Linked DNA regions of Saccharomyces cerevisiae S288C. Changing the gene in region 2 together with the main gene of any one other region gives a genetic interaction. Each region holds a gene or a part of one and is shown on either strand. Other genes may lie near its edges. The genes, in order: ASP3-3, MBA1, YME2 and EMI1.

Region 1 (3,460 bases), on a different chromosome or scaffold from region 2:
TTTCGGTTGCGGCCATATCTACCAGAAAGCACCGTTTCCCGTCCGATCAACTGTAGTTAAGCTGGTAAGAGCCTGACCGAGTAGTGTAGTGGGTGACCATACGCGAAACTCAGGTGCTGCAGTTGTTTTTTTTTTCGCGCACGAATACATCACGCAGCCTCGCCTTGACACTGCTCAAGGGATAAGGGGAAGGAGCTGAGATAGAACTGAGTTGGAGCGTTGCAGCGGCACGAGCAGTGAAAAGAGCGAAGAGAAGAGAAGCAGATAAAAGACCAAAGTAGCGATGATACTTCGATGTTTGGAGCGATTTTTCCTATGTGAATATTAGAAATCATATGTTTTGTATCAGCTGAACAGTGAATGATGTGCTCAATACTCAAATTCATCTTTTTGTTTGCTAAAAATAGCTTAACTGGCACATCATGAAAAGGATGTAGAAATTATAGAGTATATTTACTACTAAGAACTATATAAAAACACAGTGTGATGAAAAGTCACTGATCAGGCTTTAACCACCGTAGACGCCAGAAAAAACAGACCTAATCTGATCCATGCCGTAGCCGGAGTACAAACATAATTGTAGCAAAATACGCGATTTTTGAGGGTTTAGGTAGCCAGATCCAATGGCGTACTCTGGGGCATCATCTGGAGGAACTGTACCATCTGCTGTTCTTCTGCTGTGAACAATTGGTATACCATACTCTTCATAAAGTTGTTCGTTTACAATACTACCCGTAGCAGTCCAGGAACCAGCTCCAGAACCCGCCAACACGATACCTTTTGCGCCCAGGTCCTTGACGGCCTTTACTATTAGCTCAGGATTCAAGCCTTGATAGGAGTACAGAATAATGACTTCTGGAATTTCCGAAGGGTCTGTGAGGTTGGAAATGTCAAAAAATTGCCATCCATTTGGCTTGACTGGTGGGTAGTAAAACTCCACGTCATCATTTGAAAAGTAACCTAAATATCCCTGTTCATCCGCTCTGAATGTATCTAAAGAGTTGGCATTCATTTTCGTTGTCCAAAACCCAGAGGCAATACGATCGTTTAGAGTGATCATCGTGCCACGACCCAGTGATTTCTCAGAAGCAGCAATAGACACTGCTTGATATAAATTCATTGGGCCATCAGCAGACGTGGCAGTGGCTGGACGCATAGCGCCTGCGATACATACTGGCTTCTCTGAATTTATGGTCAAATCTAAGAAGAAAGCTGTCTCCTCCATAGTGTCGGTCCCATGAGTGACAACCGCACCAGCGTAGTCATCAGAGGCTAGTGCCTCGGAGATACCGTGATACAATGGGATCAGATGCGTATAGTTTAAAGAATTTGAACCAACGTTAGACACTTGAAGATAGTCCAGATTTGCCTTCTCAGCTAAAGATGGGACGGCTTCTATTAAATCATTTACGGTTAATCCCACGCTATAACCCGCCGTTGTTGCACTTGTCGAACCCTTGGAAGCGATAGTACCGCCGGTACCAAAAATTTTGATTGATGGCAAAGAAGAATTCTTCTCTTCACGAATTTTTAGTAGTGGAGCACCACTGGACATTGCGACAAAGAGAGAAAGTAAAAGGGTATTTAAAGATCTCATAGTTGGAGGTTGGTGAGTACCAGATTGCTTACAAAAGAATAGCGAGCCAACATTTGCTCTGCCTCAGGCCTCTTGGTGCTGCTTGAAGACTCATCTTATATGGCTTTTGTATGTCATGATTTGTTCTTGTACATTATGTGTTGATATTAAACAAATTGATTTTTTTTTTTTTGCGATAGCAAGCAGATAATGAAAGAGACAAGGACTTGGAACATCCGATAAGACTGCGCCGATATCGATCTTACAGTCCTTCCCTTGTGTCATGACTTTCGGAAAAGCATCCTCGTCGACTGGTAGTTTGCTGTCTGTCACGTGCTGAAGGGTCTGATACATTTTTTTAAAGATAAGAGACGGGGTTTACCCTTCGGAGGACTAAGCGAGATCTCCAAGTAAAGATCTCGCTTATCAAGAAAGCAGCCAAGTGTGGAACGTCCTTTTTTTTGGTTTCAAAAAGATATTCAACAGTTTACACTGCAGCTTTAATTGCCTCAAAAGGATATCATGAGGTGATCTAGGGTCAGAAGGGAAAGATTACAGCATCTTGAGTTGAATCACATCTGCAAAAGGTGGTATTATTGACGTTGCTCTTCCTTAATGGAAACTCATGGGGTTTGGAAAGGAGGTGCGGTAATCTATTTTTTTCGAACACAAAACCTAACCTTGAAAAGAAACTGTCCAATTTCATTGAACTTACCTCAGAACGGGCCGGAGTCTTTGCTTTCAGTCTAACATGGTCTAATTTCTTCGAAAAGCTTCATTTAATTGTTAGACTGTGGTTTTACAAGGAAAAAACCAGTGCTATACTGAAGCGATACCCAGAACTAATTACCTTGTGTGACGATTCGGCTCAGCGAAACGGACATGGTAAAATTGGGAATTTGAAAGCAGGCAGCAGCCTTGTACAGCGACATGACGATAGGTTTAGAATCCCCATCACGTACGAGTTGAAGAATTCTACGAAGGCTCTATGCGTTATTCCTCTATCGGTATAAAGTGTAGCGTTGTAGGGGGGATATTGGTGGTTTAGTTGAATTTGCGCAACGAAATTATAGAACTCATAAAAGTTCAATTCAATACTTGAAACCCTTAACGTTGGTTCGACCATCAATTGTTTGGACATAATAGTTTTATTCTGCGGCCGATTTCAAAATTTAGTAAATCAAATGTTGAAGCATCACCAGTAGGATGACCACTCCCATGACAAAACTCCGTCCCAAAGATAGCTTGATCATCCTAAGCGGGTCGCATTTTACTATCCCCAGTTCCGAAGAATAACAAGGCTCAATGCATATGCTGTTTATCGTGCTCACAAGGCGGTATGACGTTTTTAGCAATGTAATTATATTAAAAAGATCTTCAGTCACTATGAGTGGTTGATTGCCCCATAGAGAGCTATAAGCCGACGTGAAAGCTGCTGGTTCCAGCTTGGCTCATGTCGTCACCAGTCACTAGTCACTTGGTCGCATTCATTGCTACTCATCTGCGAGTGAGCATATTTGAGATCTGACTTGCCAAGGGATTAGAATCACGTAAGACTCTTGATCCTTAGAAGATATTTCTGACAAAGAACCACCTAAGCCATGCAAGTTTTTTTTTTCATTTGGTGGCGAAACAAAGGTGATGAAAGTTTCTTCTTGTACAAACGCCAAGCCCGATAGGTGAGACAATTCTTGAAGTAATGGACCTCTGAGTAAGCATATCAGTCGAATGAAGTTCCAATATGCGTTGGCCAAGGAACAGCTAGGCAGCAACTCGCGCAGTGGCGTCAAAAAACTAATAAGTAAACACCACTGGCTTCCGGAATACTATTTCTCTGATCTCTCATTTTCTGTTGTACAGCAGTGGGACAGTAGAGCCATTGAA
Region 2 (3,232 bases):
TTCTCCAAACCATTTAGAAAAGATGCGTGCACAAGACAATTCTATTATTATCCCCTTATAATTAGTATCAATGGTATCGGAACCGTCTGAAAATTCCCGCCTCACAGATAATTTTTGGCAAAGTGCTTTGCATAACGTTGTTTTACCTGTTCCCGGAGGACCATGGACAAGGAGTAATTTATTATTTGTGATTAGCGTTGTAATGTCTTCTTGATTGGAGTCTCCAGTTTGTTTGAATCTTGCTATCTTGAGAGATATAGTTGCGTAGCTATATAACCTTTCTTTAATATTGTTACCAAAATACAACGATTCCCATTGGCCCTCGAAAGTTGTGCCTGGAAGATATGATATATTTACTAAGTTTAGTGTTTGCTTACTTAGTGGAATGTCAAAATTTCCCACCGAATTGATACAATTGTTTAAAGTTTCTCCCTCAAAACCATCATCCTCGTCTAGTTCTAAGTCAATCTTGTCGAACTCTGTGGACAGTATGCTGCCATTTTTCAGCTCATCTTGCTCTTCCAGACAGCAAAAGGGATATATAATGAACTCGTCAACAGATCCCATGTGATAAGTGTCCGACTCGTTGGTCTCCTCTGAATCTAAAATAGAATCTATGTGCTGACCCAAATTTATTTTCTCATGAAAGTTCAATTTAATAGAGACGTGTGATGTGGACTGTTGCTCTATAGAAATTTTTTTAACGAATAAGGATAGAAACAAATTATCTTGTCCTTCATTTACTGTGTTAACTTTGCCATTTATGCTTGAAAACTGGTGTAATAAAACTTTTGCTAGGCTTCTAATCAAATGTTGTTGCGCCTCCGTTGGTGGATCCTTAATTTCAATACTTCCTTGCCCCTCTCTCATTAATTCTTGGCCAGTTATAATCGAAGTCTTTAAACGGTCTTTTGGGAAACTTTCCAACTTCCTCTTGACCACTGCTTTTAACAGATTCAAAAATTCTCCCAGCTTTTTGTTGCTGTTTTGTTTCGAGTCAGAACCAGAATGTAGAGAAGAAATTTGCTCATCCTCTCTAAACATACATTTGATAACCCTCAGAGATGATCCTCGCACTTGTAGGTCAACTATGTAGCTCATATCCTTATTTTATGTCTTCAGTTTGAGATCAGAATATTTTTATGAAAATGTTGTCACTCTCTTTTAACCGCCTCGCATTTCGTAGATTTGCCGCCCACCTTATTGTCAACGGCAAATCTAAGGATATATATACATATATATATATTTTTGAGAAAGATTATATTTTCGCCAACGATGAAAAAGAGAAAAGTACAGTACTATGTATTATGTGTTTTTCAACTCAAGAGAGGGGCAAACATATAACTGGTGCTATATATGATTAAGGCTGCGCTCAAATATACTTCTTACTTAATTGACTGAACAATACGTTGATAAGATGAAGGAAGAGTCTCAGATATTGGTTTCACAAAAAATTCAGAGAATGGAGTCATTTCGGTTACGGGCAATCTTTCGGTGATTGGTACGGAGTATCGCGATCTTTACACGTTCCACTAGTCAATCCAATCCAATTTATTCATTTGTCCGTAAATATTCTGCCGGCCTTCTCCCCATATTACAAAATAAAAAAATAAAACCTGAGTAATGGAATAGTTGGAAAAGCAAGGCAAATTTCCATCAGAAAGCAAGCCTATCCATTCAGCTAAGCTTATGAGATGAGTGTATTAAGATCTACATGCCTTTTCTTCCCTCCAAGATCCTTGTTGATATCATTTAACAAGCGGCGATTATTTTCAACTTCGAGGTTAATTTTGAATAAAGAAAGTGAAACTACAAAGAAGAAAGATAAAAGTAAGCAGCAAGATTTTAATCCTCGGCACCTGGGTGTTGCTGCCGAAATATTTATCCCCTCGGCTTACAAGAACCTTCCAAATGTATTTGCTCATCCTCTCATTGTTGCAAATGCATTGATCAGAAGACTTTACACGTTTGGTTTGAACTCTGTTCAAGTCGCATTGTTTCGTTTTCAATCAGGCATTAAACCTTCTTTTTTACTCTGGAAAAACAAAGCCATAGAGACGTATATCAATGTAAACACGTCATTTGCTCATAAAAATTTGTCGGACATCAAAGGGTTAGTTTCATTATGGGTTCAGGAAGCTCTCGAGGCTAGGTCCCGTCAACTTCCAGGTAATGCAACACTGGACTGGCAGTTGATAAAGTTTAATGCAGTTCCTAAACTAGTCTCAGTGCAACCAATCATGATTCCCGGAATGCCGTTAGAGCATTTACAGTTGGTTTACAAATTTGATACGAAGCAAAGACTAATTAAAGTCAATCAGCAAACTAAGAAGACTGAGACGTTAGACCGTGACGTTGTAGACTATATTGCCTTTTTGTGTGATGCTACAACTAATGATATGATTTTAATGGGATCTTTGTTTGAAAGTAAACCAAATGATAAATTACCGAAAAGCTACGAGGACGATGCTAAAGTTGCCATACACAGAATGAAAGTTAACGGTGATATATATCGTTTACCTCCAAGCTAAGGCAATATGTATATAAATGCGAAAAGTTTTGGAACATCTGTAAATAGCCATTGCTTCATTTGAGTTTCTTATTCCACATACCACTTACATATTCAGTAAAAACTATTCATTTGTTTTTCATTCTGAAGTATATATATTAAATTTATTAAATAGTTTTTCATGAAAAAAGTTATTGAAGCATCTCCCTTTCAATAGTGCATTAACTCTCCCATTCTAACCCATCTTTCCGTTGAATCGTCATAGAACAATGTTTCTGACAGATTGGTTTTCCTATAACGATCTTTGCAGCACAATCTGTGAAATAATTTCCATAAGCCGGTAAGAATAGTCCTGTTATAGCTGATACTACCTTGTACATAATTCATATCACTGAGCTTTGCTTCATCTTTTAGAGGCTGAGACTTCTCAAAACCTTCTGCGCTATCCAAACGATAGGTGCTGATTTCTTTTAATGCCAATGAATTATTAGAACACTTCCTACATTTAAGAACAACCTCTTCCTCGGACCTTCTCTTTCTATTTTCTGTATCAAAAGAACTGTCTTTTTCAATTGCTGCTGTGTTGTGAGGAATAGATCGATAAAGTACTTTTTTTTGCCCTGTTCGAATAACAAAAAGAAATAATGTCAATTCATTTGCACTGTAACAGTAATCAGCGCTAAAACCCTTAGGATGATATCGATGATTTGAAAGTATAATTGT
Region 3 (4,831 bases), on a different chromosome or scaffold from region 2:
ACCGATTTGCACGCTTGGCATGGTGACTGGCCATTGCCAACTAAGTTACCATTAGTTGGTGGTCACGAAGGTGCCGGTGTCGTTGTCGGCATGGGTGAAAACGTTAAGGGCTGGAAGATCGGTGACTACGCCGGTATCAAATGGTTGAACGGTTCTTGTATGGCCTGTGAATACTGTGAATTGGGTAACGAATCCAACTGTCCTCACGCTGACTTGTCTGGTTACACCCACGACGGTTCTTTCCAAGAATACGCTACCGCTGACGCTGTTCAAGCCGCTCACATTCCTCAAGGTACTGACTTGGCTGAAGTCGCGCCAATCTTGTGTGCTGGTATCACCGTATACAAGGCTTTGAAGTCTGCCAACTTGAGAGCAGGCCACTGGGCGGCCATTTCTGGTGCTGCTGGTGGTCTAGGTTCTTTGGCTGTTCAATATGCTAAGGCGATGGGTTACAGAGTCTTAGGTATTGATGGTGGTCCAGGAAAGGAAGAATTGTTTACCTCGCTCGGTGGTGAAGTATTCATCGACTTCACCAAAGAGAAGGACATTGTTAGCGCAGTCGTTAAGGCTACCAACGGCGGTGCCCACGGTATCATCAATGTTTCCGTTTCCGAAGCCGCTATCGAAGCTTCTACCAGATACTGTAGGGCGAACGGTACTGTTGTCTTGGTTGGTTTGCCAGCCGGTGCAAAGTGCTCCTCTGATGTCTTCAACCACGTTGTCAAGTCTATCTCCATTGTCGGCTCTTACGTGGGGAACAGAGCTGATACCAGAGAAGCCTTAGATTTCTTTGCCAGAGGTCTAGTCAAGTCTCCAATAAAGGTAGTTGGCTTATCCAGTTTACCAGAAATTTACGAAAAGATGGAGAAGGGCCAAATTGCTGGTAGATACGTTGTTGACACTTCTAAATAAGCGGATCTCTTATGTCTTTACGATTTATAGTTTTCATTATCAAGTATGCCTATATTAGTATATAGCATCTTTAGATGACAGTGTTCGAAGTTTCACGAATAAAAGATAATATTCTACTTTTTGCTCCCACCGCGTTTGCTAGCACGAGTGAACACCATCCCTCGCCTGTGAGTTGTACCCATTCCTCTAAACTGTAGACATGGTAGCTTCAGCAGTGTTCGTTATGTACGGCATCCTCCAACAAACAGTCGGTTATAGTTTGTCCTGCTCCTCTGAATCGTCTCCCTCGATATTTCTCATTTTCCTTCGCATGCCAGCATTGAAATGATCGAAGTTCAATGATGAAACGGTAATTCTTCTGTCATTTACTCATCTCATCTCATCAAGTTATATAATTCTATACGGATGTAATTTTTCACTTTTCGTCTTGACGTCCACCCTATAATTTCAATTATTGAACCCTCACAAATGATGCACTGCAATGTACACACCCTCATATAGTTTCTCAGGGCTTGATCAGGGTTCCGTAGATGGGAATTTGAGAAGTATAAGGGAGATAACGGTAATGTTATATTGAGAAAATGAAAGATGAACTCAGTATTGACAGGATCTAAAACCAAAATATAGCGGGCCTATACAGGAAGTAGTATTTGTAAAAGTAAACCATGTTGCTAGTACGAACGACTTCCCTGAATGTGTCAAGGATGCCAGTGCCATGCCTCGCCAGAGGAATAGGCATCCTCAAGGGCAAATATAGACTAGCGAACCTGATGAATGCCCAACCCTCAGTGAGACATGTGTCGAGCGAGATCCAGCAAAAGGATCAGCAGGCAGGAGAGTCAAACACCGCCACCGATACTGGTGTTATTCACAAATCAGATGAAGAAACTCTGATATATTTCGATAATGTTTACGCTAGAACCACCTCGGTTTGGAATCCAACACTGTGGTACAATCTCCTGCTAAGAAACCAGTCACGGGATGCAGTGAGGGAGAAAATAAGGAATTTAGCCAGTCCACCCAATAACCCCATTTATGGACTGGAGTTGAAGTCTACCATTCCAGTGAAAAGGGATGGTGGTGTATTTGCCACATTTGTCGTTCCACCCAAGTATACAAAAGCTCAGGTAAATTCTCTAATCCAACAGAATACAGCCAGAGAATCCTCTAAAAACTTACTCTCGTACTTCACTCGAGCTTCTGCCTTCCCAGTAAAGGGTTCGCCTTGGATTGAGGATTTAAGAAGACTACCAAGTACCACTATAGTCATCAAGTTCCAAGGGCCCGCCTTAACAGAAGAAGAAATATACTCTTTATTCAGAAGATATGGGACAATTATTGATATTTTCCCTCCCACTGCTGCTAACAACAATGTGGCAAAGGTAAGATACCGTTCATTCCGTGGTGCCATTTCTGCCAAGAATTGTGTTTCCGGTATCGAAATTCATAATACCGTCTTACACATACAATACGAAAATATCAGAAGAGGCCATCTAGTTAGTAATTTTTTCACCAACCATACAAGGATTGCTATTCCAGTTTTATTTGCGCTACTTTCAATCTTTGCTGTTTTAGTGTTTGATCCTATAAGAGAATTTTCGATTGAACAGAAGATCACTCACAAATATTCTTTATCGTGGGACAATAAGTTTTGGAAACAACTGAAAACGCTAACCTCATCTACCATGACTTCTATCAAGTACTACTGGGGCGGCCCTGATGATAATCACCAAAGAAAGCATTTATGGGAGGAAAGAATAGAGAAAGTGAATGACCTGAAAATGTGGCTTGAAGAAAATAATAATACTTTTGTGGTTATAAGGGGGCCTAGAGGTTCAGGGAAACATGATTTGGTCATGCAACACACTTTGCAAAATAGAGCAAATGTTTTGTATTTGGATTGTGATAAATTGATTAAGTCCAGAACAGATCCTATGTTTTTAAAAAATGCCGCTAGTCAATTGGGTTATTTCCCAATATTCCCATGGATTGACTCTGTCACAGGTGTCCTTGATTTAACAGTGCAAGGATTAACAGGGCAAAAAACTGGGTTGTCTGAGACGAAGGAATCTCGGTTTAGAAACATGTTAACTACCTCATTGATGTCCATTAGACGTATTGCTCTCAAGAATTACAAGGCTTTTGTTTCCACCGGTGATGGGACAGTTAATGTTAAGGAAGAAGATTACCTACAGCAACATCCGGAAGCTAAACCCGTTATCGTCATAGATAGGTTTGAGGGCAAGTCGGAAATAAATGGATTTGTGTATAAGGAACTATCCGATTGGGCAGCTATGCTAGTTCAAATGAATATTGCTCATGTGATTTTCTTAACGGAAACCGTTGCATCCAACCAAAGATTGAGCGAATCACTACCCAATCAAGTCTTCAAAAACCTAATCCTATCAGATGCCTCAAAAGAGAATTCGAGGAACTATGTATTATCCCAATTGGAGGATTACTTATATTACAATAAAAAATCCAAGGGTGAAAACGTAAAAGAACCTGAATCAGAAAAGGAAACTGCTGAAAATAATGATTCTGATAGTGAGGCCGATACGAGTGTCAAAAAAGCTGAGGTTATTTTAAATGAAAAGGAATTACAGGAAATTGACGCTTCTTTAGAGCCATTGGGTGGTAGGATGTTAGACTTACAGGCATTTGTAAGAAGGGTAAAGTCAGGAGAAGAGCCCTCGGAAGCAGTAGACAAAATGATTGAACAGGCTTCTGAGCAAATAACTCAAATGTTTTTAAGTGACAAGATTGACAGCAATAAAAGTGCACAAGCCTGGGAATTAATCGAATTATTGAGTGCGAACCCAGTCATTCCATTCCATGAAATCGTTAACAAGCCATTATTCAAAGCCGCACCAGAAACGGGAATCATGGAATTGGAGAATAATGGTTTAATAACTGTATCTAGAGATAGGGGTGTTTTACAGGAAATCAGGCCTGCCAAACCGCTATACAGGGCAGCATTCACATACTTGATCAACGATCCTGAACTCGCAAAAGTGCTAAAAACCCGTTACTTATTAAAGGTTGTGGGTTTTGAAACTGGTAGAATCAAGAAATGGGAAGAAGAATTAAAACCTTTGGGGAAAGTTCCTGATCAGAAACTTTTCAAGACCAGATTGGACTATTTATCCGGTAAAATCAATGCCAGTAATGCAGTCATTACCAAATGTGAAGAAGAAATTAAAAACCTATCTAAGTGATGAAACAAAACTTACTATTCTGCTTTTCTGTACATATGTGTAAACCCTATATTGCTATACTCATCTATATTCTTTTGAAAATGTATAAAAGTGACGATTGGAGATGGTGCAATTTTCTACGCAGCATGAAAAATATCTAAGGAAGGTAAGGTACATACCAAGTAAGTCTTATAATATGTTGTTGTACCTCACTTTACCATTCTTAAAGTCTTTAAAAGAAATTACCTTACCCAATTTGCACAGCAAAGGTCACTGACCTATACGTGCCCTTCATCAGATTACATCACGTGAAATTTCACTGGGAAAGAGCGCGAGGGCTTTCCGATGACTTTCTACATTAATAATCGCAAACAAAGCAATCAGCACAGCAAAGAGTACAATTTCGAAAATTGCGACAGAGCAACGTAAGTATATCGTTGTTGATAGATTCCACTCCAACCTGCAAATGCTGCTTCTTCCAAGATGTCCTGTAATTGGGCGAATTGTAAGATCAAAATTTAGATCTGGTCTAATCCGGAACCATTCGCCCGTTATATTTACTGTGTCTAAGTTATCAACCCAGCGGCCTCTGTTATTCAATTCAGCTGTGAATTTATGGAATCAAGCACAAAAGGATATTACGCACAAAAAATCCGTCGAGCAATTCTCGTCGGCTCCAAAAGTGAAGACTCAGGTAAAAAAGACCAGCAAGGCCCCAACCC
Region 4 (3,197 bases), on a different chromosome or scaffold from region 2:
TATGTGCTTCCAGCTTTACTTTTACTAATTTTTTCATAAGCACAAAATAGTAAGATCTTTTTTCTCTTGGCGGTGAAAAATTTTGATTCGATGGATCAATAACATACTGCAAAAAACGGTTTGAGGACATATGAATACTGCATTTACTAGTAATTTGCCTAGTATATAGTTTGACTACACAGATTATAAGCTATTGTATGAGTAGCTCCACAAAGTGCAAGAAAGCATACGAAGCGGTAGTCAAAATGGTTACGCATAGATTCAACTCCAAAGCAGTCCGCAATTACCATCAACCACAAGGTTTAAACAGGAGTCTGGCAACCCGCAATGCAGCTAGAGTTAGGGGTATGGTCCCTTCAAGAAGAGGGGGCGTGGGACTGTATAAGAGTTCAAGTAGCAAGTTGATGAATAAACTAGGAAGACAAAAGACATGGATAAATGAGTTTGAACATTTTAATTCTCTGCACGAAATTGCATATACCCCTAACATTGCGTTAAGTAGTGAAATCCAAAAATATTTAAAGGCATTGGAAACAAACTATCGGTCCATCTATGAGAAAAGTTCAGAATTACTGGATAAGAAGCTGGAAGAAATTGACAAGAAATGGATAGAGAAAAACGGGTGTATACCTGATGCATCTAAAGACGATGTGGAGAAAAATCTAAGAAAGCAATATTTAGCAGATGTACAGGACGTAAAAAACGAACATATACCTGTGATGAATTGTGAACCTGGTGGGTCTCAGTTCAAGTATCTCTGTAAAACTATTGAGTTATTATCATCCAACAAGACAATTTGTTTTGCCATCGATGTAGAGGCATTTGAATTTGATACAGACATTGTTACAGAGATTGGCATCGCCATATATGATCCAAGAGAAAACATTTATTCCTTGATGCCGATTATAAGAAGTTATCATTTAATTGTTGCTGAAGCGTTACCGTTAAGAAACAAGAAATTCGTATGCGACTTTAAAGACTGCTTTTTACTTGGAGAAAGTCTTGTATTACCATTGGAACAATGTGTAGAGTTCATTCAGTCGTTGATTAATTTCTATATGAAATGTGAGACGGACCAAGATACAACCTGGGAAAGAGCGTTTGTGGGTCATGCTATAGCGGGGGATATTAAGTGGCTGAAGAAAATTGGGGTCCATGTACCTGAATTGGATAATGAACTTACCAAACCGGAGGACTCAACGGAGAGCAAAGGTGTTAGAAAACATGTTAAGATGCTTGACACAGAGAAAATTTATAGCATGTGTTATGGCAAGAAGGGTAGCAGTTTAGGTAAACTACTAAGGCTTTTTCACTTGCCACATGCCTTCTTACATAACGCAGGCAATGATGCATATTACACGTTGCTCCTGATGCTGAAGTTAGGAGATTATAACTTTAGAAAGCAAATTGGGGCAGATGATTTAGAAACAATGGGATATAGGATAAGAGAATGGTTTAAGCGTGAGGCGGACGAACCCAAAATTTTGCCAATGTCGTACGTGCTAAGTGTGATGAATGCCAATAATAGCAAACCGAAAGTTGATGATAAGGGAAGAAAGAAGCCGAGGGATCTTGTACCTCAGACGGAATTTAGCGGGTCTCATTGGTTTCAAAATGCACGCGCAGCCTTCAAAAGTACTCTTGTGTGAATCTAGCTAGAAGTTTTGTAGGTATATGTGATTTAAGATATAGATAATAAAAGATATATATATGTAAATATTATGAAGGGGATATTAGCGTAATTTAAACTATTGAAATACCGGCTTCAATATTTCAGCTAACTTGCCATTTTTCTTCAAAGTTTCCAAATCGCTGTTACCACCAATGTGCTTGCCATTGATGTATACGTTAGGTACAGTTTTTTGGCCCGAGATTTCTTCTAAAGCGTCTTGAATCTCTGAGCCATTGCTCATTTCATCTAATTCCAACACAAGGGCCTTGGATTTGGGAACGTTCAATTCTTGGAAGAGGGTAGACAAAGTAGCTTTACAGTAAGGGCAGTATGTCTTTGCTGCAACAAACACTTCCTTTTGGCCAATCAGATCCTTTACGTGAGCAACTGTTTCCTGGGATACCATTTTTGGAGTAGATAAAAATCTTTTAGCAATAATTCTTGTGGCAAACAACGTGATAATGATAATAACAATTAAATTCGAGTCGAAGGAAAAATTGGTCTCCATGAAACAATATATAACAGTAGTTGGAGTGTCCGTTAATCAAGAGGGCACCTTTTCTTGGCGTCCTGGGACTTTTTATATGAAAATTCATGAAGAAAGTGCGGCGGGCCCCTTTGCGAAGGGGGCCGAAATATCGGATCTTAGTAATAGTTCTGCTATTGGATGTGGTATTAGCATAAATCAAGAGGGAGGCGATGGTTCTATTAGGGTAAAAGAGAGCAGCTTGAGGAAGAAACAGGAAAGGATGAGTACAAAATATCCGACAACGATGAGTTGCCGAGAGGCATTTGATCAACTGACGAGTTGCTATTCGATTGGAGGGCAATTTAGAAGCTATTACAGATATGGAGATTTTACATCATGTGACAAGCAGGTGTCCAAATTCAAGTTTTGTATTATCCACGGCAATGACCCTGTGAAAGTGCAGGAATGGTATAAAGATCAGGTTTCCAACAATAAGGCATTGGAAAATACCAGTGGGGTTATATGGCAGGAGAGGGAGACCACTGCAAATAAGTGAGATTTTTAGCTTTTTTTTTTTAGCATGTGTACTATATAGTATATGGATTTCTTATTTACAAGCGCAATAAAAAGACGAACACTAATCCTTGTTGTTCCGCTTCACGTCCTTACTTGATTCTATTTCATTGTCTTGGTGAAGTTTCTGTGTTTCCTTCATCAATTCATACAGTTGAACTGTTTGCTCAGGGGATAGTTTCTCCAGGGTTTCCGAAGATAAAGTGGCATCTTTCCATTTACCGTTGGAAATCATGTGGAGATAATCTTGCCAGGAAGCTAAAAAGCCGACTATATGCAACGGGTTATCGATATCTTTGTGCAACTTGAACTCGTTTCGCACGTATTGGTCACCCATCTCCCTTTGGGGACCAGGTAGCAGCTTATGCTGCCTTAGTATCCTTCTGTAGAGAACCAAAGGTGGAAGTAAAAGCTGGCTGTTATGGGTTGCAAATCTAACCGAACGATATATGAGCTTGTTGTTCATGGTGAATGAAGACGGGA

The links.
Region 1: mutations in MBA1 (region 2) and ASP3-3 together harm fitness more than expected from each alone (negative genetic interaction), as found in Saccharomyces cerevisiae (2 studies listed by BioGRID).
Region 3: mutations in MBA1 (region 2) and YME2 together harm fitness more than expected from each alone (negative genetic interaction), as found in Saccharomyces cerevisiae (4 studies listed by BioGRID, with this or other methods).
Region 4: mutations in MBA1 (region 2) and EMI1 together harm fitness more than expected from each alone (negative genetic interaction), as found in Saccharomyces cerevisiae (2 studies listed by BioGRID).

The regions. Positions count from the first base shown.
Region 1 is NC_001144.5:482,041-485,500, forward strand, and holds ASP3-3 (asparaginase ASP3-3), read right to left. Parts: upstream 1,598-3,460; coding exon 509-1,597; downstream 1-508. Other genes in the region: YLR157C-C (uncharacterized protein), read right to left, coding at 19-150; YLR159W (uncharacterized protein), read left to right, coding at 3,305-3,460.
Region 2 is NC_001134.8:598,422-601,653, reverse strand, and holds MBA1 (Mba1p), read left to right. Parts: upstream 1-1,694; coding exon 1,695-2,531; downstream 2,532-3,232. Other genes in the region: PCH2 (Pch2p), read right to left, coding at 1-1,101; YBR184W (uncharacterized protein), read right to left, coding at 2,720-3,232. UniProt on the Saccharomyces cerevisiae protein: Mitochondrial inner membrane-associated mitoribosome receptor that spatially aligns the mitoribosome exit tunnel with the membrane insertion machinery and allows cotranslational protein membrane insertion.
Region 3 is NC_001145.3:869,372-874,202, reverse strand, and holds YME2 (Yme2p), read left to right. Parts: upstream 1-1,577; coding exon 1,578-4,130; downstream 4,131-4,831. Other genes in the region: alcohol dehydrogenase ADH2, read left to right, coding at 1-912; ATP-binding cassette Fe/S cluster precursor transporter ATM1, read left to right, coding at 4,576-4,831. UniProt on the Saccharomyces cerevisiae protein: Plays a role in maintaining the mitochondrial genome and in controlling the mtDNA escape. Involved in the regulation of mtDNA nucleotide structure and number. May have a dispensable role in early maturation of pre-rRNA.
Region 4 is NC_001136.10:1,470,000-1,473,196, reverse strand, and holds EMI1 (Emi1p), read left to right. Parts: upstream 1-2,133; coding exon 2,134-2,697; downstream 2,698-3,197. Other genes in the region: YDR514C (uncharacterized protein), read left to right, coding at 198-1,649; dithiol glutaredoxin GRX2, read right to left, coding at 1,749-2,180; SDH7 (Sdh7p), read right to left, coding at 2,779-3,180. UniProt on the Saccharomyces cerevisiae protein: Involved in sporulation. Required for the full activation of the early meiotic inducer IME1.